Rattus norvegicus: one gene and its partner. The protein of the gene in region 1 purifies or fractionates together with the protein of each later gene. This does not show direct contact. Links are inferred from orthologs where the notes say so. Each region holds a gene or a part of one and is shown in the gene's direction. Other genes may lie near its edges. The genes, in order: Tnip2 and Tank.

Region 1 (12,869 bases):
GTGTGTGTGTGTGTATGTATGTATACATACTCTTCCCCTGAGGAAGCAGAGGGCAGAACTGCCAAGTATGGTGCTGTAACTAGTGTTCCATGAATAGCACTTGTCCCGTTCCCACGTACAGTGCCTCAGCTGTGTGGGGGAGAAAAGCTGTGTGTATGGAAGTGAAACCAGAAAGCAGTCCATGCTGCTAGTCACACTAAGAGAAAAAAGAGCACCCCAAATTCTTATTCAATGCAACCTGGGAAAAGAAAAATAAACCTGCTGTCTTCAAGCCTTGTCTTAGCATAGTTTATGGATAAATGGAACAAAGGCATCTCTAGTTCAAGGTTGTTCCTCTGGAAGGGGGTGGGCCTTGTCTCTCTGACTTTTTTTTTTGTTTGATACTGTCTTTCTGTACAGTGGAAACGGAGGGTTCTTGTTCACTAAGGCCATTGAGTCTTACATTGAGTCCTCCCATTTGGATGACCTCTAGAATTCAGAACAATAATCCTTATCGGTGTGTATGTGCTGAACTGTTCACGAAGCCTATGGAGTACAGATGCTGTCTCGCACTTGCTAACGCTTACCATCTGCAAGACTTTCCCTTAATGCTTGGAGCCAATTCCAAAGAAGAGCCTGGGCCTGCCCTGAGAGCAGTGAGATTGTTGAGTTAGAGGAGGCGCTTTGGGACAACAGTAGCCAGAGCCCCAGAAATAAGCAGGCATCGGGACGCACAGGTGCCTCTCACTCAGTGACCAGAGACTGGGGCACCTAGGTCTCAGGGAAGAGTCACCGCTAGTCAGACACTCAGGCTCAATCAGATGTGCAGGCCTACTAGAGTAGATGGGGTTGGTGCCTGAAGTTCTGGTCCCCAAGCCTTTGTGGCCACACTGCCCCCTTGTGGACATTTGGAAGGCCCTCCTACCTGTGAAGGCCTCAGGTGTCAGTCAGCGCTAGTGTTAGAGCATTGTATGTACATAGCTTTGGTGTGATGGCATCAGGCCAGTCACCAACCTCACTGACCACAGACTCACATATGAGCCTTCCCCCTCATTAGGGAGGCCTCTGCTTCTTACACAGCTTCCTTTTGGGCTAAGCTGGCCCTTGAGATCTCAAGATCTCAGAACAGGACTGAGGTGTCAGCATTCAAAATGAAGCAGGAGAGAATTAGGAAAAGTTGCAGACTCCAAAGGGACCTGTATCAGAGGAAGAGGCCTTCGGGGAATCAGACCGACAATCGTCTGTCAGTAAATTAAGCCGGAGTTAGGCCTGCTCCACAGGATCACTGGAAACTCACGGCCTATGGGGACTCAGAATGAGAATCCGTCTCTGAGACACTGAGATCACCCCACACTTGGATGTCCCCAGGACATTGTATCCCTTTCTTGGGAACCCAAGTACCAGGCTCCTCCTCATTCTGTACATTGCAAAGACAGCCCCCTCCCCACACATACAAACAAACACCCTTGCCATTAAGTACAGACTGGCCTCAAACTTATGATCCTCCTGCCTCAGTGTCTTGAATTCTGGGATCATAAATCTGCACGGTAGCTCATCCAATCACCCTCTCTAAGGTGAAACATTCTCCATTCCTTTTCCTGGCCCCCACATATTCCCCCCATCCTTTTCTTATTATATTAGTTATTTTTCTTGTTGTTGATGCAAAATACCTAAAAAAAAATAATAACCCAAAAAACAAAAAATAAAAACAAACCAACTGGGGGGTGGGGTGGGATGGAGGCTTTTGGAGAGGAAACTGGGAAGGGGATAACATTTGAAATGTAAATAAACAAAATAACCAATTAAAAGAGTAAACAACAACAAGTCAAACCAACTTAAGGGAGGAAGGGCTTGTTTGGGCTCCTGGTTTGAGGGGTCACAATCCGTCAGAAGGAGAAGGTGTGAGAGCTGGAACAGGAGGCCACATCTCAGGAAGCCAAGGGAAACGATCAGTGGTCCACAGCTCCCTCCCTCCTCATTCAGCCTGTTCCCAGCACATGGAAGATGCTGCCCACATTTAGGATGGGTCTCCTTTCCTCAGTTAATCCTCCCTGGAAACCTCGTGGGCATGCCCCGGGTGTGTCCAGTTAGTGTTGGTTATTAACCAACGAGCTTGTACAAAGTTCCCCCACCTCTTAGGCTGGGCGTCTGTCTCCACTGTTAGAATACTCATCTGTAACTCTCTGGGCCTAAGCCCTGTAGTTGAATTTCAGCTGAAGACACAAGGATGCTGGCCACTTCCTGTGTTACGTTGCAGACTCTTTTTTTTTTTTTTTCTTTTTTTTCGGAGCTGGGGACCGAACCCAGGGCCTTGCGCTTCCTAGGCAAGCGCTCTACCACTGAGCTAAATCCCCAACCCCTACGTTGCAGACTCTTAACCATGCCACAGAAGGTAGTGTCCTTAGAGGTCTGGAAATCTCTCATCTACAGTTCTAAAGTCCCAAAAAGCTCAGAAACCCAAAGCATTTTTCTTAAAGCTGATACAATAGCTGACTCGAATCCTGTCTTACTTAATTTGACTAGACATTCCCTCTGTAGTTCAGGAAGTAAAAAAAACAAAAAACCAAAAACCAAAACTGACATGTTTTGTGGGTCTTAGAGATGCCCCAGTGGGAGTGCTAAATTGTATGTCAATTGTTGATGTTCTGTTGAGACAAAGAATTTCAAGTGTGGCTGGAGATAGTAGCTCTAACTATAATCTCAGAGCTCAGGAGGCTGAGGCAGAAAGATTATCATGAGTTTGAGGCTACTCTGGTTTACAAAGCGAGTTCCAGGTTGGTCTATGGAGTGAGATTCGATCCAAGCATGGGGCCGGAGAGATGGCTCAGTGGTTAAGAGCACTGACTGCTCTTCCAGAGTTCAAGTCCCAGCAACCACATGGTGGCTCACAACCATCTGTAATGGGATCTGATGCCCTCCTCTGGTGTGTCTGAAGACAGCTACAGTATATTTATATATAATAAATAAATAGATCCTAAAAAAAAAAAAAGACACAAGCATGGTGGCACATACCTTTAATCCTAGCACTTGGGAGACAGAGGCAGGTAGATATCCGTTAGTTCCAGAGCAGCCTGATCTTCATAGAGAATTCTAGGCTAGCCAGGGCTACAAAGTGAGATGCTGTCTCAAAACCAAAGCAGAAGAGAACAAAAAATAAAGAACAAATCAGAAAGGTCTTCAAGGGGGCTGAGCTAGCCCGGTGATGTACAAGCAGATAGCCTGAGAGTCTGATTTTGGACTCACAGCACCCACGTAAAAGCAAGTGTGATTACACACATCTATGATCCTATCGTGGGGGCTGTGGTTGGATGGAGACAGGTGGATCCCTGGAACTTGCTACCAATCAATGTAGCCAATCTGTGAGCTCTGGGTTTAGTGAGAGACCCTGTCTCAGGAAGGTGAAGAGAGACAGTGGAAGACACTTGACATCAACCTTTGACTTCTACACACATACATCCACGTGTGTGTGCTATATATACATACACACATATTAAACACATACATACATGTATATTACATGTATGCTCATATACATATTATACACATGCACATATGTTACACACACACACACACACACACACACACACACACTTTAAAAGACTCCCAAGTGTTAGCATCTTGAAGCAATATCACCCGTCTGTTACTTTTCAGTTTGTCAGGAACCTCGGAGTGCACGGTTATAGAGGCTAAGTACTCCCTGTTGTGTGGGGCCTGCCCATATGTACAGATATTGGCAACAGGACTTCTTTTGTTGTTGTTGTTTGTGTTTTGAGACAGGGTTTCCTTGTGTAGCCCTGGCTATCCTGGAACTTGCTCTGTAGACCAGGCTGGCCTCAAACTCAGAGATCTGCCTGCCTCTGCCTCTGAGTGCTGGGATCGAAAGTGTGTGCCATCAAGAGTACTCCTTTTTAGAGGAAGGTTCTCTCAGTTATGTGCACCTCTGTAAATCAACGCTTTTGAACTTCAAACACTTGTGACACAGGAGCATTTGAATAAGTTTCTTTGTTGTTTGATGTCTATTTTGCGGTTAGTTCACAACGAGGCTCAAAAGCACTTGAGTGACCTACCCTAGGCTACACACGGCAGTAAGTGAACAGTTAAAGCCACATATCCACTCAGGGCCAGGGTCTTCTGTGTGGTACCCCCCCCCCTTCTCTTTCATCCCACAACTGCCTTGGTCAGTCAAGATGCACCCTGCATGGCCACAGCAATGGTTGTGCTGGACAATCGTCTAATATGTGGAAGTTTGAATGAGAGCAGCTCCCATAGGTTCCTGTTTGGATACTTGGTCCCCAATTAGGGACTCATGTAAGGTTGGGAAGGATTTAAAAGTATGGCCTTTCAGTGGTAGAGCGCTTGCCTAGCAAGTGCAAGGCCCTGGGTTCGGTCCCCAGCTCCGGAAAAAAAAAAAAAAAAAAAAAGGTATGGCCTTGTTGGAAGAGCCATGTCACTTGGGCAGAGAGATTTTGAGACTTCAGCATGCTCTCTGCCTCCTGCTTGGGGATCAAGATATGAGCTCTCAGCTTTAAACATCTGACCCTTAATCCCACTTAAATGCTTCTATAAACTGCCTTGGTCCTGGCATTTTGTCACAGTAATAGAAAAAAAAATACACACCTATTCTCTAGTGTGATAACACCCCTACCAGGTAGGGAAGGCAGCAGCTGCGATGCATCGCTTCTGACTGGAGTTTTGGCTCTGAAGGCTAAGAAGGAGCTGAACATAAGTGAGCCAGGTCCGTGACTCCTAGTATCCATCCTATAAATTCTTGGTGAGGTCTGGCTTTGCATATAGTTTGATACTTGCAAGGGAGTGTGTTCCTGCAGGTTCAACCAGAGCTTGGCTGTGAGCAGACAGGATACTGAGAAGGAGACTGAGCAGAGAAGAAACACATCCTCACCTAGGGAGAGGACTTCCATGAGATCTTAGCAAGGAGCCTTTGAAAGATCTTCACGGAGGAGAGACTTCCCAGAGGAAAAATAGGGTTTGTATGGAAGCTGTGGGAAGGGAAGGGCCAGCGCCCTCCTGTCTTCTGCTTGAAGAACAGTTTCTAGCGCTAAGGCCATCCTAACTCGAATTTAGGGGCATGCTGGCGTTTGGTGGCTGGCTCTGGGGTCCACCATGTACTGTGAGCTCAGTGTCCCTGTATGAAGAAACACAAGTCAAGTCCCTGAAGAGGAAGGAGCCCCGCCAATGAAACCTGACCACACTTCATGTCCAATGTCTGAAGTCCTTGGATTTATTTGCTTTTCTTCAGCTGCTGTACCAGAGGATACCTAACCCCAAACCCTGGTCACAGATGGGATCTGACTCCAGGAAAATACCTCAGACGCAGGGAATAGGGCCGTGGTGACAAGTCTAAGACTGTGGGGCAGACAGCACCTAGAAGGGAGCTGGCACGTCAAGAGAAAGTGAGATCATCGAGAGAGAGGGGCGGTGACAGCTGTGGGCGGGGGCGGAGTCAGACTCCCAGCGGAGGGCGAGGCGGAGCCAGCTGTGTGCGGGGGCGGAGTCAGACTCTGGGCAGAGGGCGAGGCGGAGCCAGCTGTAGGTGGAAGCGGATTAGGCTCAGGGAGTGGGCGGGGCGGGAAAAGTTCCGGGAAGGCTGGTTATCGCTCCCGCAGCCTAGAGAAGTTGGAGACGCCCAAGTCCCCACGGAAGGCCCACAGCTATGTCGTCTGGGGACGCAAGGTCTGGTAGACAGGACGAGGCCCCGAGCGCGGCCTCAGCGCTCTGTGGCCTGTACCACGAGGCAGGCCAGCAACTACAGCTCCTGAAGGATCAGCTGGCTGCGCGTGACGCCCTTATCGCGAGCCTCCGCACCCGCCTCGCGGCTCTGGAAGGGCACACGGCACCATCACTTGTGGACGCACTTCTGGATCAGGTGGAGCGCTTCCGTGAGCAGCTGCGGCGACAGGAGGATGGTGCCTCGGAGTCCCAACTGCGGCAGGTGCGGGGAGGGCAAGAGCTGTTGCCCAAGGTGGCCTAGGGAGCTTGTTGGAGAGTGTGACACTGAGTCCAGAGGTGCGCGAGGTCTTGAGGGTCCCGAGGGTATGAGGCTCGAGGTGCGGGTCTGAAGAGCTCGAGGTCTGGAGCATGGTGGTTTAAGGGGTGCGCTGGGGTTTGAAAGGAGCTGAGTTATAAGGGACACGAGATCCTGAGGCAAGTGGGTCCTAAGGAGCTCTGGGTCCTGAGGTTTCAGGGTCTGAAGGGCGTGGGGATCTGAGGCGCAGGGAATCCTGAGGGATTGGGGTCTGAAGGCGAGAGTCTGGGTAGTTCAGGATACTGAGCACTTCGAGATTCATTCGTAGGCCGGAGAGTTAGGCAGAGTTGAGCAGGAGTCTCTGGGGCACAGGGTTCTGGTGAGCACCAGGGTGGCAGAAGTGTGACGTTTGAGGAGTACCAAGTCCTGACATTCTGTTGAGGTTATGAGCAGTTCTGAGGAACATGTGATGGAGGTTAATTTGGGACAGACCCCCTGGGTCTCTCGACTTTGGGGGTGCTGCTGTGGGAAACTTGCTCATGAAATTCCATGGGGGCAGAGGTCTGAGGAATGTGAGGGATCCGAGAGTGCAGGGATCTGTGGGGCATAATGTTCTGAGGTAGCCTTGAACACATGGTTCTGTTGGTAGTGAGCTTCTCCAATATGTGCTCTGGGTCCCAAAGGGGTGTGTAGCGGCTTTAATCACTGCTTATTACTTTGAAGAGACATCATGACCAAGGGCAACTCTTATAATAGAAAGCATTTAATTGGGCGCTGGCTTACAGTTTCAGAGAGTTAGTTCATTATCATCATGGTGGGGAGTGTGGCAGCATGCAGACAGGCTTGGTGCTGAAGAAGTAGCTGAGAGCTACATCCTGATCCACAGTCAGAGAGAGACACAGGGCCTGGTGTGGGCTTTTGAGACCTCAAAGCCCATCTCCAGTGACATAGTTCCTCCAAGGCCACATGTCTCAATCCTTCTCAAATAGTGCTACTTCTGGATGATGAAAAATGCAAGTATCTGAACCTGGCGCTTTCTTATTCAAGCCACACCAGTGGGGCACCAGGATTGACGAAGATGGAGTTCTGGGAGGGGTGGTGTTCAGGGTTCTGTAGGTAGGGTTCTGAGGGACAGACACTAGAGGCTCTAAAGGACATGAGTGAGGCATGGGGTCAAGAGGGTCTCAAGGACATCCTGACAGGCATTGCTCTTTGAGGAATGTGTACAGGTTCCATTGTGTTTGTGTTGGCTCTGAGGGGGCAGTGCAGGTCTTGGTTCTTGTGTTCTGTGAAGGGAGGTCTTCTGTGGAATGTGAGTTTCTGAATCCTGTGCGGAGTGCCAGGAACCTGAGAGATGCATAGGGTTCTGAAGACTGGGACTCTGAGAGAAAAGACCCACGTTTTTGGTTGGTATTTGGTGTTATATTTAGTATTATATTGGTGTTTGGTTGGTATTTGGTGTTATATTTAGTATTATATTGGGATTTGGTTGGTATTTGGTATTATATTGGAAGAAGCAGCAGATGCCAATCTGAGAATATGTAAATTCTTACTTGGTTCTCCTTGTCATTTGTTATTACTTGGTTCCACAAGCACACAAAACTGAAATGCGTGATAACACTTTCCTGTAGCAGTCGCCTCTATCTGACTACCTTGCCCCACATTTGGAGGAATGCTGGCATGTTATTCCATTTGGTCCATGGCTATCTTGGTTTTCCCCCATGGACAGTAAGCCTGACAGGGGAGCAGCTGGTAAAAGATAATATTGTTTCCAAGATTACCACTGCAACTAGATTTCTTTTTCCTTTTCTTGTTTTCCTCCCATCCCTACACCAGTTGTACTAGGGATTGAAGCTAGAGCCCAGGCAAGTAAGTGCTGTACCATTGAGCTGCACACATCTCTGGTTATTTTCTTGCTTTTTACCCAAACTGGTCTTGAACTCACTGTGAATCTCAGGCAGGCAATGAATTTGGATCCGCCCTGCCTCAGTCTTCCAGGTAGATGGTATTACAGGCTTTTGCCACCAGGCCTGGCCACAACAAAATTCTAGAGGGGGGAAAAAAAGAACGTATTTTTTTCCTGATGGTAAACTTTAGAATACGTGAAAAACGAATCCCACATGCTTTGTGTGTGGTTCTTACCTGCGTTTCCTTTGCGGAGATAGATACGTGGTCCTGTTGGGTTCACGTTTTTCTGTACAATTTTACTTTATATCGTGTTGTCATTGTTTTCTATCTGTATCATTTAAAGCACCAAGAGCAAACGGAAGTCTCCCCACTCCAAGTCTCTCTTTCTGGAAGGAGGGTTGCAAAACATCAGAGCAGAGAGAAAAGTAGAGGCTACTTGGTCTGGGCCACTAACTTAGTGTTGTGACATCAGGAGCCACAGTGAGTACAGAGCGTCAACCTGAAGGCACTTCAGAATTTGTCACCAGAATATCAGTGGGAACAGTTAGGGTAAGGGAACTCTCCATACTCACAACAGAACTACACGTGCAGTCTGGTAGCCACTGGTGCTCAGTGCAGATGGATCTACACCCAGCAACTGGCACTTGTTTATAGCTCTCTAGAGGCTCCAGACAGAACCAGTCGATGGTCCCAGTATTAACGGTTCTACGTCCACTGGCATACAGATTTTGTTCTGGGATTTTAAGAACTATTTGCAATTTTATTTAGGGAATTTTGTTAACAGTGTGGTGACTAAATATTACAAAACCATGTGTGGACTGAGGAGTCTGCCAAAACAAATTGACTGACTATATTAGTAGTAGAAATATGTGTCAAAAATTACCCTGTTAAAATAACTACTCTGTTCACTTTAATTTCAGTGTTGCTTCTTTCTATGATGTAGCTTCCTTGGTTATGTGGTTTGCAGAGGTGTGCACAGGATAAGGCTTATGTAATTAGTATAATTTATTAGTTATTAATGTAATATATTTTATGCCTACATACTAATAACTGTCTTAGTTACTTTTCTATGGCTGTGGAGAGATACTATGACCCAGGCAAGTTACAAAAGAAAGCATTCAATCGGGGGCCTGTTTACAGTTTCAGGGAGTGAGTCCATGACCATTATGGGTGCAGCAGGCAGGTGTCCTGCTGAGAGGTAGCTGAGGCCTTACATCTGATCCACAGGAGGCAGAGAAAGAGATGGGGCTTGGTGAAGGGGATAAAGGCACTCGCCCACCCCCAGTGACTGGCACACATTTTCCAGCAAGGCCAGACCTCCCATTCCTTCACAAACAGTTCCACCAACTGGGAATTAAACATTTAAATACATGAGCCCATGGAGGCCATTCTCATTTGAACCACCCCAGTAACTAATGTAACACATTCCCTGACGACAGATCTGTGTAAGCACAATTTTAGTAAATGTCAAAGGGATTATGTGCTTGTCAACTCAGTGCAAATACAGAAGGACTTTAAAACAACTTATCATTTTCTTACCTCTTTTTTTAAAGATCTATTTATTTATTATATATAAGTACACTGTAGTTGTCTTCAGATGCACCAGAAGAGGACATCAGACCTCATTACACATGGTTGTGAGGCACCATGTGGTTGCTGGGATTTGAACTCAGGACCTCTGGAAGAGCAGTCAGTGCTCTTAACCACTGAGCCATCTCTCCAGCCCACTTTCTTACCTCTTGTCATTAAATTCTACTAGTGAATGCAACATTGTTATGTTTTAAATCCTTTGATTTTCATCTGTAATGAGAGGAAAAGAACAACTGGCTTTAATTTTGAAAGCAAATACTGTGGGGCTAGAAAGATGACTCTCATGGTGTGGTGGTGTACATACCCTAATCCCAGCATTTGGGAGACGGGGCAGGCAGATCTCTGAGTCTGAAGATAGGTAGGGCTGCCCAAAGGAACCCTGTCTTGGAAAAAAAAATCCCCCAACCAACCAACCAACCAACCAACCAACCAACCAACCAACCAACCAGTGCACAGTACCCTTGATTCACAGCATCAAGGGGTTTACAAGTGCCTGTTACTCCAGCCCCAAGGACCCAGCATCCTCTTCTGGCCTCTGTAATAATCCACCAACAAATGCATAGTAATATGCAGACACCTAAAATGAAAGTTTGGCACCAGGCGTAGTGCTGAACAGCTTTGCACAGTGGCACACGCCTTTAATCCCACCACTAGAAGGCAGAGGCAGGTAGATCTCTGAGAGTTTGAGGCCAGTCTGGTCTACATAGTGAGTTCTAGCCAGAGCTACATAGTGAGACCCTATTTCAAAAAGTCAAGTAAAATCTAAGAGAATAAAAGAAATAGTGTTGGCAAGATGGTCCAACACTCGAAGGCCACTAAGCCTGCTGATGAAAGCTTGATCCCCAGAACTCATGTGGTAGAAGGAGAGACAGAGTCCTGCAAGTTGACCTCTATATGCATGCCCAGTCATGCAGGCTTTTGCGTACACACACACACAGACTCACACACAAAGGAGCAAGATATTAATGACATTTTTGTGGATATAAAACTGACAGAAGAGATTAAACTAAAAATGAACAGCATGTGTTGAAGGTGATTTGAAGAGGATCAGGAGGAGCAGAGGATGTCTCCGGTGGTACAAGCCAAGGGCCCACACCTGGTAATGGCATTTTCAGGATCCCAGCTTGGCCAAGGGAGTGTACATTCAAGGAAAATGTGTAATTTTTTTCCATCTTTATTAACTTGGGTATTTCTTTTCTTTTTTTTTTTTTTTTTTTTTGGAGCTGGGGACCGAACCCAGGGCCTTGCGCTTGCTAGGCAAGTGCTCTACCACTGAGCTAAATCCCCAACCCCAACTTGGGTATTTCTTATTTACATTTCAAATGTTATTCCCTTTCCCAGTCTCCAGGCCAACATCCCCCTAGCCCTTCCCACTCCCCTTCTATATGGGTGTTTCCCTCCCCATCCTCCCCCCATTACTGCCCTCCCCCAAGAATCCCACTCACTGGGGGGTCCAGCCTTGGCAGGACCAAGGGCTTCCCCTTCCACTGGTGCCCTTACTAGGCTATTCATTGCTACCTATGCAGTTGGAGCCCAGGGTCAGTCCATGTATAGTCTTTGGGTAATGGCTTAGTCCCTGGAAGCTCTGGTTGGTTGGCATTGGAAAGGCAGAGGCAGGTGGATCTCTGTGAGTTCTAGGCCAGACTGGTCTACAGAGTAAGATCCTGTCAAAGAAACAAACCCAACTACAGTAGAAAGCAAATGGTTGGTTAGCTTGCTTTCTCTGATGGCCATATCCACCATCTCTAGAAACAGGGACCCTAGACCAGAAGAGACTGATGGCTCCCACAGAGAATACTGCAGACTAGGTATGTGGAGGAATTGAGAGGTTCATCTTTGACAGACACTAGCCAGTATGTCCAGATGAGGCCATAAATGTGTCCTCATGGTGTCCTGGAGTGGCACTTGGGACCCTACCTCACGTGCAACTTGAGGCCTGGATGAATGATTTTGCAAACTTCTTCCAGATAAGATTTTCTGGGGCTGGGGATTTAGCTCAGTGGTAGAGCGCTTACCTAGGAAGCGCAAGGCCCTGGGTTCGGTCCCCAGCTCCGAAAAAAAGAACCGGAAAGAAAAAAAAAAAGATTTTCTGGGTTAATGGTGCTATTCACCATGTGGCCTGTGGCTATACAACTGTATCCCGTTACCCTGGAGACCGGCCTCCTAGGTCCTGCCTAGTCCTGGCATCCGCAGTCCTTTGCTTGCAATTTTTCTCTTCCTCGCTTGCTACACTTTATAGAGCAGTGGTCCTTAACCTGTAGATCATGGCCCCTTTGTCAAGCCTCTTTGATTCATGACAGTAGCAAAATTACAATGACGAAGTAGCAACAAAAGATAATTTTTTTTTCCTTTTCTTTTTTTCGGAGCTGGGGACCGAACCCAGGGCCTTGCGCTTGCTAGGCAAGCACTCTACCACTGAGCTAAATCCCCAACCCCAACAAAAGATAATTTTATGATAGGGGATCACCACAACGTGAGGAGCTGTATTGAAGGGTCACAGCGTAAGGAAGGTTGAGAACCATTGGCTTAGAGTAAAAGACTTTGTCTCAAAACAATCAACAAATGAGAATTACCAAACAGTACATGTTTTTATGACAATAAAAATCCAGGGGCTGGTGAGATGGCTCAGTGGGCAGAAAGTGCTTTCTGAACAAGCTTATTGATATCTGGCACCCAGGATGAAGGGAAAGAATCAACTCCTCAGAGTCGTCCTCTGACTTCTGTATGTGCACCACACCACGAACACACACACACACATGCAAGTACAATAATAAAGTTATAAAGAGAAATAATTGAAGTTTGTCTTTACAGCGTGGTGAGTCTGTGTCTTCATTTGCAGAGTGGATTGGTTGAGGCTATCTCATCTCATCATGTTCTGTTTATGCTTGAGGAGTCTTTGAAAATAGGAAAGCACAAATTTAAGGCCAGGTCGTTAAAAATGGTCATTTTGGCCAGGCTAAGGGTGCAGGTACTCCTAGCACTCAGGAGGCTAAGCTTTCGCTCAACGGTCCAAGCCAGTCTGGGCAACCTAGACAAAGTTTGTTATTTATTTATTTAAATTTTTATTTATATGTGTGAGTGTTTTGTTTGCATGAATGTCTGGGCACCACATGTCTGTCTGGTTTTTGTGGAGGCAAGAGGAGGATATCAGATACCCTGGAAGTGGAGTTACAGGCCATGTCGAGTGGCCATGTGGGTGCTGGGACTTGAACTAGGGTCTTCTGGAAGATCATTCAGTGCTCTTAACCACTGAGTCATATCTCTAGCCCCAGAAAAAGTCTCCCCCAGTACCCAGACAGGGTTTCTCTGTGTAGCCTTGACTGTCCTGGAACTCCCTCTTTAAACCAATCTGGCCTCAAACTCAGAGATCCACCTGCCTCTGCCTCCTGAGTGTGGGATCAAAGGTGTG
Region 2 (12,696 bases), on another chromosome or scaffold:
AACTGGGCTAGCTCATTTTTATGCATCCATTTTTGTAACTGTAAAATAGCACTTTTACCCTGGGGTACTTAGAAAAATGAATGAAGTAATGTAAATAAAGGGCTTGAAATTGTGTCAGGGCCACAGTCATTTTGTTAAAGTCATTGTTAACTGAGGTTTTCATCCCCTTTCAATGTTCCCAAACAACCATCACTTGTCATGTATTTGATGTATCTGTACAAATGTGTTGCTTCCTGAAGTGAACATCTTATTTTCCAAATACAAAATTCTTTCCTTGTAGTAAACCAAATTTCTTTCCTAATCACTCCTATCCACTAGCCTGAGGCCTACCTTGAAGAATTTAATTGATATTTGAATATGATTGGGGTTATTTTTCTTCATATTCTCTAAGAAAAGCATTAACCTTTCCTGTAATTATGTATTTATGACATGGATGAGTATTTAATAGTTTATCTTTGGTCTCAAAGATCAGAAAGATGGGTCAGAACATAAGAATGTTGCTTCCTTTTTTCCTTAGGGAATTCCAAAGCCCTTATTAGTTTGGGGATAGTTTACCACCTCCACATTACCACCTATAGGAAAGCTCGTCAATTTTGTATGATTTCACATAAATTGAATCTTATCTTCCTAGGCACAAGCAATTTTTTTCCTATTGTTTCTGTGTATAGGATGGTAGGAACCAGTAACTAGATAATTTGTAATTGTTCCTATCAGTTCATTATATATCACAGCGTCTTTTGTTCCTTAGATAGCCAATAATATTAGTTGTCAAATAAATGAGGAAGGCCGAATGCTAGGGAGCTTACGACCCTGCTTTCATTGCCATTCTCAAAAAAATAAGCCTAAAGTACCTCTTAGCTGCTCAGTCGTGCACCTCAAATCTTTACTTTAAGAACTGCCAAGAATATTAAAATCATGTGCGCCATCAACATTATAAATGTTCTTCTATAATCCTAAAAGCAAGTGGAGATTATGTTTTAATCTGCTCGAAAAGCAATAAAAACAAGCAAAAGCCATAAATGTAGCCTAAAAGAAACAATAAATTCACTGAGATCATAGGAAAAACATATGAAATACAGTTTTAACCCTTAACTCGTTTACTTCTTCAACGCCTACTCTTCGTGAGTAGTTATTGGGCTGAGAACTGTCTCTTTGCCCATAAAGCACTATTATATTATGTAGTCATTTGGATATGAAGTATCCTCCATGCTCCCACACAAAAGACCTATGTGTTAAGAGCTTGCTCTCCAGATGGTGAGCATTTGAAAGTGACTGCAGCATACGGGTTCTCACTTCCTCAAAAGATGAGCTCACTGATGAATTCCTAGCTTAATGTTACATTATTAAGAGGTGGAACCTACTTGGGAAAAGTATGTTACTGTGTGCACTTTGTCCCTTCCTGGCTCTTGTCGGTGTCACTCTTTTCCCTCTGTGACATTGTACTCTTTGCAATGATGTCTTACCATACTATGCCAGCACCAGAAATAGTAGAATCAAGTAACCATGAAGTGAATTCTCTGAAGTCATGAGTCCACAGAAATTCTTCCTCCCTTAGCCCATGCTCTCAGGTGTCTGTCACAGTGACATAAAAACTGAGTAACACACCCGATTTTCATCTTCTTCAATGAGTTGAGTACATGGTCCTGCATTCCACTGAGATGGCTCAGTGTGTAAAGACACTTGTTCCCAAAGCCTGATAACCCGAGTTGAAGAAATAGGTAATAAATGTTTATTAAATAAGCACTCATATAAGGTTGTCTTAGGGATTTACTATTATAAAGAAACATCATGACCAAGGCTGGCTTATAGGTTCAGAGGTTCAGTTTATTATCATAAAGGTAGGAACATGGCAGTGTCCAGGCAGGCCTGGAGTTGAAGGAACTGAGAGTTCTATATCTTTGTCCAAAGACAGACAGGAGAAGTCTGGCTTCCAGGCAGCTAGGATAAGAGCTTAACGCCCCACAGTGACACACTTCCTCTAACAAGGCCACACCCTACTCTAACAAGACCACATCTCCAAATAGTGCCACTCTCTGGACCAAGCATATCCAAACTACCACAAATGTCAATCATTGAATTGGATTAGAGCTTAAATAGAAAAACTGTAGCTCCATCCTATTACCAAAAGCTTAGGGAACATCTCAGAAGAAGGTGGAAGGAATATGAGAGCAGACGGTGGAGGAAGGTGATGGGAAAGGTTCTTCTGGACACGATATGTTTGGCGCAATCATGGGAGCTCTGGTTACTTGTTCATACAGGGCTCTTACAAGATTTGGCTTGTCCATATTTCATCATGAAAGAGGGGAGGGCCAATGAGACCTTGCCCTTCCCTAAGGGACTAATGACAGTTAATGGTGGCTTTAGTGATGTAGTCACTGACAAGTTACCTGTCCTTCAGTAAAGAGTTTCCCTCCCAAGTTCATTCAGGCAACCCCATGGCACACACAAAACAAAGGCATAAAAGTAGAAGGTGGGTGAGTTAGGAAGAATAAGGGTTTCTGGAAGAGGGGGCATAAAACAGGCTAATAGCTTTTTCTAAGAACATACATGTATAGAACTGTCAAAGAATAAAAAAAATTTTTTGAAGAATTGTAAAAAGTGAATTTAGTTCCCTAGCTAGCTTCACTCCGTGTAGTCACCATCCATTCATGCTAGCCCCCAATTCTACTGAATGTGGATACCAAACCTAAGTATCACCACTAAGAAAGAAATATTTGGCAAAAACTTGTAATCAACTACTTTCCCCTGCACATGTTTATAGAAGCTGGGGGAATAAGTTTAAAATAAAAGAGCATGAATTTTCTCCTCAGAAATGGTAATTCACATCTCAGCGTCAGCTGCAGCCACAGATGAACAAAACCTTAGCACTTGCGCCTGTGAACAGGTAAAGGCAACAAAATGTTTCTACTCCCAGAAAGCCCATATCCGGGCATTCATCTTCCGGGTGCTGGTATGGTAACCTAAGTGACGTTTCTGAATGAAATATCTACTTCAGTACCACATGGCTGCCTAACTAGCTTCTTGGCCATATTTGCAAGTATCTGAGTCTCGCTGAATCTTAGTTAGCAGTTAGTAGAGCTTGCCTTTTATGTTTTCGGAGGAATAGGAAAAGATCAGTTGTAGCACATTCTCTATGGGGAGACCTTCCACACAGGCTTACAATGAGAATCCTACAATTAGAGTTGGTCCTGCTCTTAATAGTCAGCCAACACCTTGGCCATTTGTCTTTTTGAATCAAAACCTAAGCTTTTCTCCTACCCACCAACTTGAGCTTGCCGCCCCCTTCCCCCCTACCATCCCGGTCACTGTGCCCATCTATTCTTTTCCTACTGGGATTTCTATGAGAGGATAAAAATAGAGTCAGGGGCAGGAATGAACAAAGGACTCAATAGGGACAACAAGGGAAGCTATTACCTTGCTTGGAGTCTAAATTAGTCAGCAGTGTCTTCGGCTTTTAATGTCGCACGCGTAGACTTGACTGCTTCAAAATGCATCTCTAACCAAATCAAAAAACTTCTGCACCAGGGCCTGGAAAGCCCCTCTCAATGTCCCACCAGGTTGTGGCCAATATTCCAGGAATAGCCAGTTTTTCCGGAGTTTGGGCCCCAGCCAAACTCAATGGCCAAAGTAAATAATAAAAGGAGGAAGCCTAGGATGGAGAGGTGAAAAAATGAAGGTAGGTAGAGCGCTTGCCTAGGAAGCTCAAGGTCCTGGGTTTGGTCCTCGGTCCCGGAAAAAAAAGAAAAAAAAGAAAAAAGAAAAAAAAAATGAAGGCAGGGGAGTGTATTTCCCAGTCAATACGGGAGGGCTGTTTTAACAAAAAGCTGTGCGTTTAAAAGCTTGCTTCCCAACTGTCAACTCTCAAGGACTAAAATGTCCACACGCCAGTGCTATCTTAAGTTTTTGATGTTTCACTTCGTTGTATTTACTTTGTAAGATTTTAGTTTCCCGTTGCACGAAAGCATGTTTAGTATTTGATATTCCTCGGTGAGAGTGTGACAAGCACATAGAGCTGGAAGAAAACAAACGCTTCGCTGCGTATTTTACGAGCACATAGAAGAGTTTTTAAGCACATGCTTATTCAGCACTTTAGAAACTTAAAAAAAAATATTTTTGGGGAAGGAATAATTCCACCATATGCAGCATTATCTCTGATGTGTTTAAGATGCAATTTTAAGAGACAATAGTGCTTTAAAGTAGTAAAGGGACTAGACTATGAATCGGAAATTGGAAATTTTAGTTTCCATTAACTGGAGTTTTGGGAGATGCCTCCGCACACTTACGCGGGAACTCAGCAGGGAGACTACCCCCAGGACTCAATCTTGTTCCGACTCCTGAACTTGCTGTGAAGGAGCACAGTACAGTACGTATGAATTGCACCTGGAGACAGACCACTCCAAGTGCCCATTGCTTCTAACTTTGTGACATTGCGCACTCTCCCTCCTCTGTTTAATCATCTGCAATAAGGGGAAATGGAACAGATCGTGTCTAAGGACATTTCCATTTTTATAACAAAGAAAAATGTCCAGATATTGCTGTCTTCCATTTACATGTAAAGCCCACAGTTTAGTTCCATGCGGTCCGAGAGAAACACTCCCCCAGGGTGTGGGAACACGTGCTCAACTGTGTCAACAGTGACCTGCGTGTCAAACTAGAAATCCTGTCTAAAGAATCCTTTTTTGCTTTATTTTTCTTCCTAGTACTTACAGTCTCATTCTGGAATCTTAAGATACACCTTATTATTATTATTTTTTCTCTCTAGGCTTCATCCAACCGACCTTTGTAAGTCAGAAAGCAAAGAAAAATATACTTAAATTTAGGTTTTGCCTGTTATTTATAAATTTGATTTGGGGTCAAATGTGACTCCTTAAAGGCTAAAATGGCAATTTTTTTCAAATAAGCTTACTTTTGAAACGTTTTACATGAAAAACACTTCTTCCAAATTAAACTTTCATGTTTGTAATTTCTAGATTTTTTTTAAATGTCTTAACTATTCAGGTGAAATATCATTGCTTCAAAAGGAAGTCAGAGTTAGAGTCACGGGTGGTTTCAGAACATTTTCTGGTAGTTTTTGCTTCATTTCAATATTTTGCCATGATTGGCTGTTGATAGCTACAAATAAGGAAGTCTTCAAGTCAGGGGATTTCTCAGTGGAAGTCCCCAGTTCCTTCCACACAAGGGAGAGCTCAGGACAGTTTGGGCAGCATCTGGTAGAGCCTGTGCAAACGGTTTCCAGAATGTGTCCGTGCCTGTCTTTAAAGAGACACAGTCAGTGAAGGAAAACTTGTCACCTGGAGAAGAGGTAATCAACTCTTACTAATTTCTTTCGATTCTTAGCTTAGTAAGGAGGTTGGGGTGCCTTAAGTGTGGTAAGATCTACTCCACTCCGGCACCAGCCAACTAGGCGGTCCCAGGCACGAGTCAGCGATGCCTTTTGGCATCGTCGTCAGAATTAGAGGGATCCAAACAGTCTTTAAAGCACTGTGACTCTTTTACTCTTTGCCTAATTTTTAAGATAGAATGGGTTATGTCTTTAATTGAAATGAGTTTTAAAAGTCTTTATCTGATATGTGAGTCTTCTCAAGAAGTGATATACATGTGTGTGTGTGTATGATGTGTGTGTGTGTATGTATGTATGTATGTATGTATGTATGTATGTATTGTGAGACTGAGAGATATTTGGCCCAAGTTAGGTTACATAAAGCTTACTATGTCGAAAGTAAATTAAAAGTATATATAGTCCTACTTTTTGCTTATATTTAAGAAAAATCAATTCCAGCCTGATCGAATGTGTCTTTCTAAATGCCAAACTAGCATTAGTACTTTTACTCTCATAAGAACTATGTAATAATGAACATGTATGACATCAAGTATTAGCTTTACAAGCTATTCTAATTACAGTAATCAAAGCTTATGCTGTTTCCAACAGACCCTTTTATTTCCATCACCACAATTAAAATTGAAGATCACATCACATTATTTTCTCAAGGACAATTTCAAACTAAATATCAAGAACTCTTTTCAGTGTTGTTGTATTAAATAGTTTCTAGACACTCAATAAGAGTGTCTGCTAAAAGAAAAGGATCACATGTTTTCAGTGGTATAGTCAGACAAGACTTACTTAAATAAAAAGTCATACCATTTCATTTTACCTGGCTTTTTATCACTAACCCACCTGTCTTCTTACGATACTGAAACTGTGTTTGAGATGTTTTACCCAAGCTGGAGTAGGATGGGGAAGAGAGAAAACAAATTCATCTGAGTTACAGAATAATCACGTCATCACTGGAAACCGTCTCCCTTCTCACTCGTCCTCTGCCATCGCTAGGGTTACAGTTCCGTGAGTGTACATAGCAAGAAATACTAGTCTGCCTCTGGGAATGTGGAACTCTGTATCAGCTCAACACACTCAAAACGTATGCCCAGAAGCCAACTGGGGTTCTAGAGAAATGTCCAGTTATTTCTCTTAAACGTTTGTGATTTATGGTTACCAAGATGACTCAAAACAACTGTTAAATTCCCCTGGGGAAAAAATTCTGGTTGGAATTTTAGAAATGTGTCCGTGCCATTTAAAACCTTCCTGTCTGTGAACATCCTGTCTTTCTATGCATTGAGGATGGGACTCCGGTAAACATATGGAGTCCTTTGCATTATACATTATACATATAAATTGTAGAACGTGTTCCAGGCTAGTTTGCTTTGTCCCTTTCTGATGTGTGCACTAGGGGAATTATCTGTGTAAGGATCTTCTTTCTGGTGTGTTTTAACTACTGCTAACATCTTGATCTCATAATTTTATGTAGTCATTTTATTGATCTCTAATTTTTTCTAAATTATATAATTCACATGACCTTTTCAGATTAAAAAGAAAAATATGTGGACTTGCTTCCTCCTTCCCATCCTTCAGCATAGCAGCTAGAATTTCTGGATCAGGGCTTCATAACACAGGAAAAAGCAGTCGACTGTTACATTTCTGATCTCAGAGGAATTTCCCTAGTGGTTAATATGAAGAATGAGATTGGCTATTGGTTTGAGGTAAAAGCTTTCATGATTAAAAAAAGAAGCCCAAATAATTACCAATATCCTGATTTATTAGGGGTACATTTAATAGGCAATATCAAAGTTTCATGTTTAAAAAAATCCAATGTCTTTGATAACTTTAGAGACAACTGTGTGAGTTTGGCATTTCAAACGAGGCAGCAATCTGCCGTTTTAAAAGACTTCGAAGAAAACAGGTTGCCCTTGTGTTTCCCTGACAGAGCTGATTTTATAGTTAGAAACTGTACTCCATTGTTTCTCAGATTAAAATAATAAACTGGTTGATCAAACCGAGCCTACACATTTCCTATTTCTCTTCCATCCACATGCTTAGACGCCTCTCTCCTATCATTTTGGCTTCATATCCAGTTTACAGCTCAAACTACCAGGAAAGAATGAAAACAGTGTGGTGGAAGCCAAGGAGCCCTATCTAGGGCGAGCACCCAGAGTTACAAAAAAGCAGCTGTTCGTACGCTCCCTGCAAACAGCTTTCGAACATTACATCCAAAGAGGGTCTGCAAAATGTGTGTCCAAATTGGTTAGCATAAATGCAGTTTACATTAAGGAAGTGTATACCGAAAAGCAAACGTTTGTGGTTTGCTGAGAATTTTTGCATTCATAGACAGAAGGCAAATTTCATCCAGATTTTCATCTCATGGCACCTATCAGTAAGGAATTTGTCTACCAAAGTTTCCTTTCAGAAAGTAAAACAAGGAAAAGGCCAAAACACTTCAAATTCTAACAAGTTTCATGCATGTGGTCTGTTCCCTGAAACGTTTAAGGAATAAACCCAGAGCATCGACCTCGGCATCCCAGCCCCAACAGATAGTTCATTAAAACATTTTCCCAGTATTTTCTACTGTTGTTGATCAGAGCAAATTTAATGCCCCCCTTTTTACATAGTTTAGGTTTTGTCTGAAAACAATTATTTTTTTTAAAGATTTATTTATTTATTTCTAAGTACACTGTTGCTGTCTTCAGACACATCAGAAGAGGGCAGTGTATCCCATTACAGATGGTTGTGAGCCACCATGTTGTTGCTGGGAATTGAACTCAGGACCTCTGGAAGAGCAGTCAGTGCTCTTAACCACTGAGCCATCTCTCCAGCCCGAAAACAATTATTTTTAAAAACAATTCTGTTCAATTTTTTTCAAACGCATTGATGCACACAATATTGACCTACACTTTTTAAAAATAATTTCTGTAACTGTATAGATAATCCTTTCGGTGCTCACTTTTTTTTTTCTATTTGTATTTTCTCTCTCTCTCTTTCTTGATTGGTCATATCACGGAACTAATCCCTTGGATGTGACATTTTAACTTAGCTTCTTACAGAACAGCTTTTGGTCTTATCTTTACTAATATTTTCATGATATTTTAAAGATTTCTTTTTTACTCTTCCTAGTTACTGGTTTGAGTGTTTAGGTTATATATATTTTTAATTCTTTACCATTTTCTAATAATATTTTTAAGGCTATAGAAGGTTTAGGACCACTTTAACTACATCTGATAAATAGTTATATGTCACTATCACATTAGCATAGCTTCATAGTTCTAGCGAGGCTGTGTGGCTTGGCTTTGGGGTGTGCATGGGTGGAGGTGAGGAGAGCTAAGGACTGACCCCAGATTCTCATAAGAACTCAGTAGGTAACTTTACAGGTTTTAACTGCAGTTTTACTCTCTCTTTAATCGTGAAGCTATTTAGGTCAGTAAAATTATTTTAGAACAATTTTAGATTTAGAAAAAAAATCAGGCAGGAACCATGATAGACAATATATGTATTATAGACACTATACATATTACATTTTATATATTATAGACAATATATGTATGTGTGGCTGTGTGTGATCCTACTTCCTACCTTTAAACCAGAGTCACCGCTGTTGACATCTCTATTAGCATAAGTAAAACAAATCTAGATCTTTTTATTTTATTGAGTCTTTAAACATTTTTTATTATTTATTCTGCCTATCTCTCCTCTAGTGTCTGTTAGACCCTTTCCCCTGATGATTTGTTTGTCTTTTTCTAGTTCTTTGGAGTATGCAGGGTTTCACTTTATTCTACCTGTCTCTGGTTCTCTAGCAATGGAATTACAAGAGCCCCATCACCATGCCCTCTTACTTGTTTTCACTGGCTCTGGAGATCATCTTGGGTTCCCAGTCTTGTAAGGAAGTGCTTTATCAGCAGAGCTAGCTCCCCACCCTAGGCTCCCCTTCCTTCCCCTTCCTTCCCCTTCTTTTCTTCTCTTCTCTTTTCTTTTCTTTTTTTCCTTCCTTCCTTCCTTCCTTTCTTTCTTACTTTTTTAAAATCACATTTATGTATTTACTGGGTGTGGTGATCAGAGGCACCTAGAGGGTGTCAGCTTTTTCCTTCTACCTTGCTTGTGATCAGGCTGGTGATGAGCGCCTTCATAGCCACTGAGCTGTCTCATCACCCTCGGGTTTTCTTTTCAACACAGATGTCAATTGGTATTAGTGTTCCATGAAGCACTTTTAAAAACTATGTGAGCCTTCATGTGCTGCAGTTTTGCTTTCATTAACCTTCTAACAAAATCTTCTTTCTTTTGTGATTTCTGTTCTGGCTCAAGAACGTGTCAGTTTTCAAAAATTTATGTCTCTTCCAGTTTTCCTTCGATTATTGACTTCCAGCTTCTTTCCATCTTGGCTGGGAAAAGATTTCATATGACTTCTGTTTTCTGCCGTACGGTGAGACTTTGGAAGGAGCAGTATTTGCTCTATCCAGGAGAAGAGTCCTCGTCCACTCGCAGAGACTGTCTTCTGCTTCCTTTTGGCACAGTGCTCTGTTTACACCGCTTTGGCCCAGTTGGCTCACAGTACTGTTTCAGTTGCCGTTCCCCTCTGGTCCATTTTTCTACTTATCATCAAATGTGGCATAATGCAATCTCCAAGGACTACTGTAGTCTGTTTCTCTTTTCAATGTTATAAATGTTCTTCTCAATTTCTCTAGGGCTCTCTTTGCTGTTCATATGTACAATTGTTATATCTTCTTGGTGAATGATTCTTAATATGTGTGTATGTGGATATGCATATATATGTGTGTGTATGTATATATGTATATATATATATATTATTATTTGTCTCCTATGGAATGTTTTTACTCGACATATATTCTGTCTAATATTAGTACAGTCACCCATATTTCATTCGATTACTCAGAAATATTTTTCAAATTTTATTATTATTATTATTATTATATTTTTTGTGTTTGCACACAATGTGTACATGTGTGTGTGTGTGTGTGTGTGTGTGTGTGTGTGTGTGTGTGTGTGTGTAAGCATTCCCATGTGTGAATTCATGTGCATACACATCATGGTGCATCTATGGAGGTCAGAGGACGCCCTCAAATGCCAGTGGCTCTCACCTTCTTCCATTTTTGAGGAAGGTGTTCATAGTTTTGTTTTATTTGTTTCCCACTGCATAGGCCAAGTTACTGGACCCCCAAGCCCAGGGATTTTCCTGTCTCTGTCTCCCATCTCCTCATAAAGGTGTTGATATTATAGACATTTGCTATAGCATCTGGCTTTATATAGTTCTGAGGATTCAAACTTGAATCCTCATACTCACATGGCAAACTCTTCAGACACACCAGCAGAGGGCATCAGATCCCATTACAGATGGTTGTGAGCCACCATGTGGTTGCTGGGAATTGAACGCAGGGCCTCTGGAAGCACAGTCAATGCTGCTAACCAATGAGCCATCTCTCCAGCCCTGGCAAACTCTTTATACGTTGAGCCATCTCTCCTGTCCACGTCTTTCACTTTTACCTCTGTGTGCCTTTTTATCTAAAGTGTCTTCTAGATAACATAGTTTGATCGTTCAATTATGTTAGATTTTCCATTGGCCAAGCTCTGTCTTTTATCTATTTTTGAAGTAATCACTAATAAGACTTCTTCCACTTACTACTCAATGAATGTATTTCTTATAAAATATTTCTTTTTTAAAAGTCCAAAGTAAAAAATATCCAGGCTTAAGAGTAGATGAATCATCATGTCACTTAAAAAAAAACAAAATAAAACAAAACAAAAACAAAAAACCTCAATGAACTACTTTTTTCACCATGTCACAGCCTTATTCCATAATCACTTTCAATAATTCAAGTGATATTATATTTAGAAATGAAGTCAAACATAAAAGTGAATGGCTAACAAAGTTACAAAAAGCTATAAAGTTACAAAATAAGCCAAATGCATTTAATCAAGAGTAACAGACAACAAGAAGCCTTATCAGTCTAAGGCAAGGCAAGAAGTCGAGGCTGCTCAGATCTGATAGGTCGACACTGAGGAATTTGTAAAATAAATAGAAATAACATCTCTGACTTACTGGCAAAGAAAAGCCTAGATATTGCCTATCAACATTCTTATAGTGAAATTTAAATATTTCATTATTGAAAGAAAATAATCTTTAAAGGCTTATTAATCATTTCATGCATTTACAATGGAAGGCCTAGTTCTGAAATTAAAATATTACTAAGTATTTGGTTGAGGATCAGTTTAGACAAAAATGGCTTTTGACATTCAAAGTTCATGAGAAAAACTCAGCTATCTTTTAATTTTGCTTTAATGTCAAATTAAATAAGGCAACTTTAAAATTCGATAAAAACACGGCTAGTCTGTTTCCAGAAGAATTTCCAAAATTCAACCACTGAGCTTCTTTTTAGGAGAAATCATATGTTAGAACCAATTATTCTAACTTAACTTCAGAAGTTCAAATGGAAAATAAGGCTCACAGCACAACGGTGTGAGATAATTCCTCCTCAGTATCAAAGAATTACCTTTATGTTCTTAGATGCTATGCTGTAACAATGGGTGATTCAACTCATTTGGTAGCTTGCCTGGTCGACGTCCTTCTCAATAGCTTCATGTTTGCACTGAAGATGTTCTGACATCATTGTCACTTCCTTAAACTATTCTGTGAATGCAAGCTGGTGACTTTCTGCCTGACCCAGCAGCTGATGACAGCGTCTCGAGCATAATCACTGCTGACAGCAGAGGTCCATGTTCTCAAGAGAAGCCCCTTCGTGGACTGCTTGAATCACCCTTGTAATCCGGTTCCCAGACGCCATTGCCTTAACTAGCAAATGCCTCTGCATACTCTTACAAACTGTCAATTCCTTCCTTCCTAAATTACTTCCACCTTCCCTATTTAACTGATTCTTTACACCCTTTTAGCCCCTTTTCATTTTTCTATTCCATATTTGTTTTTTAAGATATTTTTAGGGGTCACATGGAAATTAAGATAATTTAAATGAATACAGGTTTAGTTTTAGTAACATCCATAAACTGTCCTATTGGTTTAATCTCTCTCTTATGCTTTCTTGCAAGTTATCTTTCTATATTGTATGCTTACGTAGAAAGTAAAAAAGAAACTATACATAAATATTGAATCATGCTGGAATTTATATTCACATAGTTGATTGATTTATATCACATAGAACAAAAGGTTTTGTTTTTGTTTTGATTTTGTTTTTTGTTTTTTGTTTGCTTTTGTTTTTGTTTTTGTTTTTTGCTGTTGTTTCTTTGTGTGGTTTCAATTCTAGTAGGCTTTTTTTTTTCTTTTTCTTTTTTTTTGGAGCTGGGGACGGAACCCAGGGCCTTGCGCTTCCTAGGCAAGCACTCTACCACTGAGCTAAATCCCCAAC

The links.
Region 2: the proteins of Tnip2 (region 1) and Tank purify together in Homo sapiens (affinity purification with mass spectrometry; 3 studies listed by BioGRID and IntAct, with this or other methods). This does not show direct contact. The link is inferred for Rattus norvegicus from reciprocal best matches to the Homo sapiens genes TNIP2 and TANK.

What each region holds. Positions count from the first base shown.
Region 1 is NC_086032.1:80,447,350-80,460,218, forward strand, and holds the start of Tnip2 (TNFAIP3-interacting protein 2), read left to right. Parts: upstream 1-5,586; 5' UTR 5,587-5,650; coding exon 5,651-5,929; intron 5,930-12,869. UniProt on the Homo sapiens protein: Inhibits NF-kappa-B activation by blocking the interaction of RIPK1 with its downstream effector NEMO/IKBKG.
Region 2 is NC_086021.1:66,517,691-66,530,386, forward strand, and holds the start of Tank (TRAF family member-associated NF-kappa-B activator), read left to right. Parts: upstream 1-5,146; 5' UTR 5,147-5,302; intron 5,303-12,696.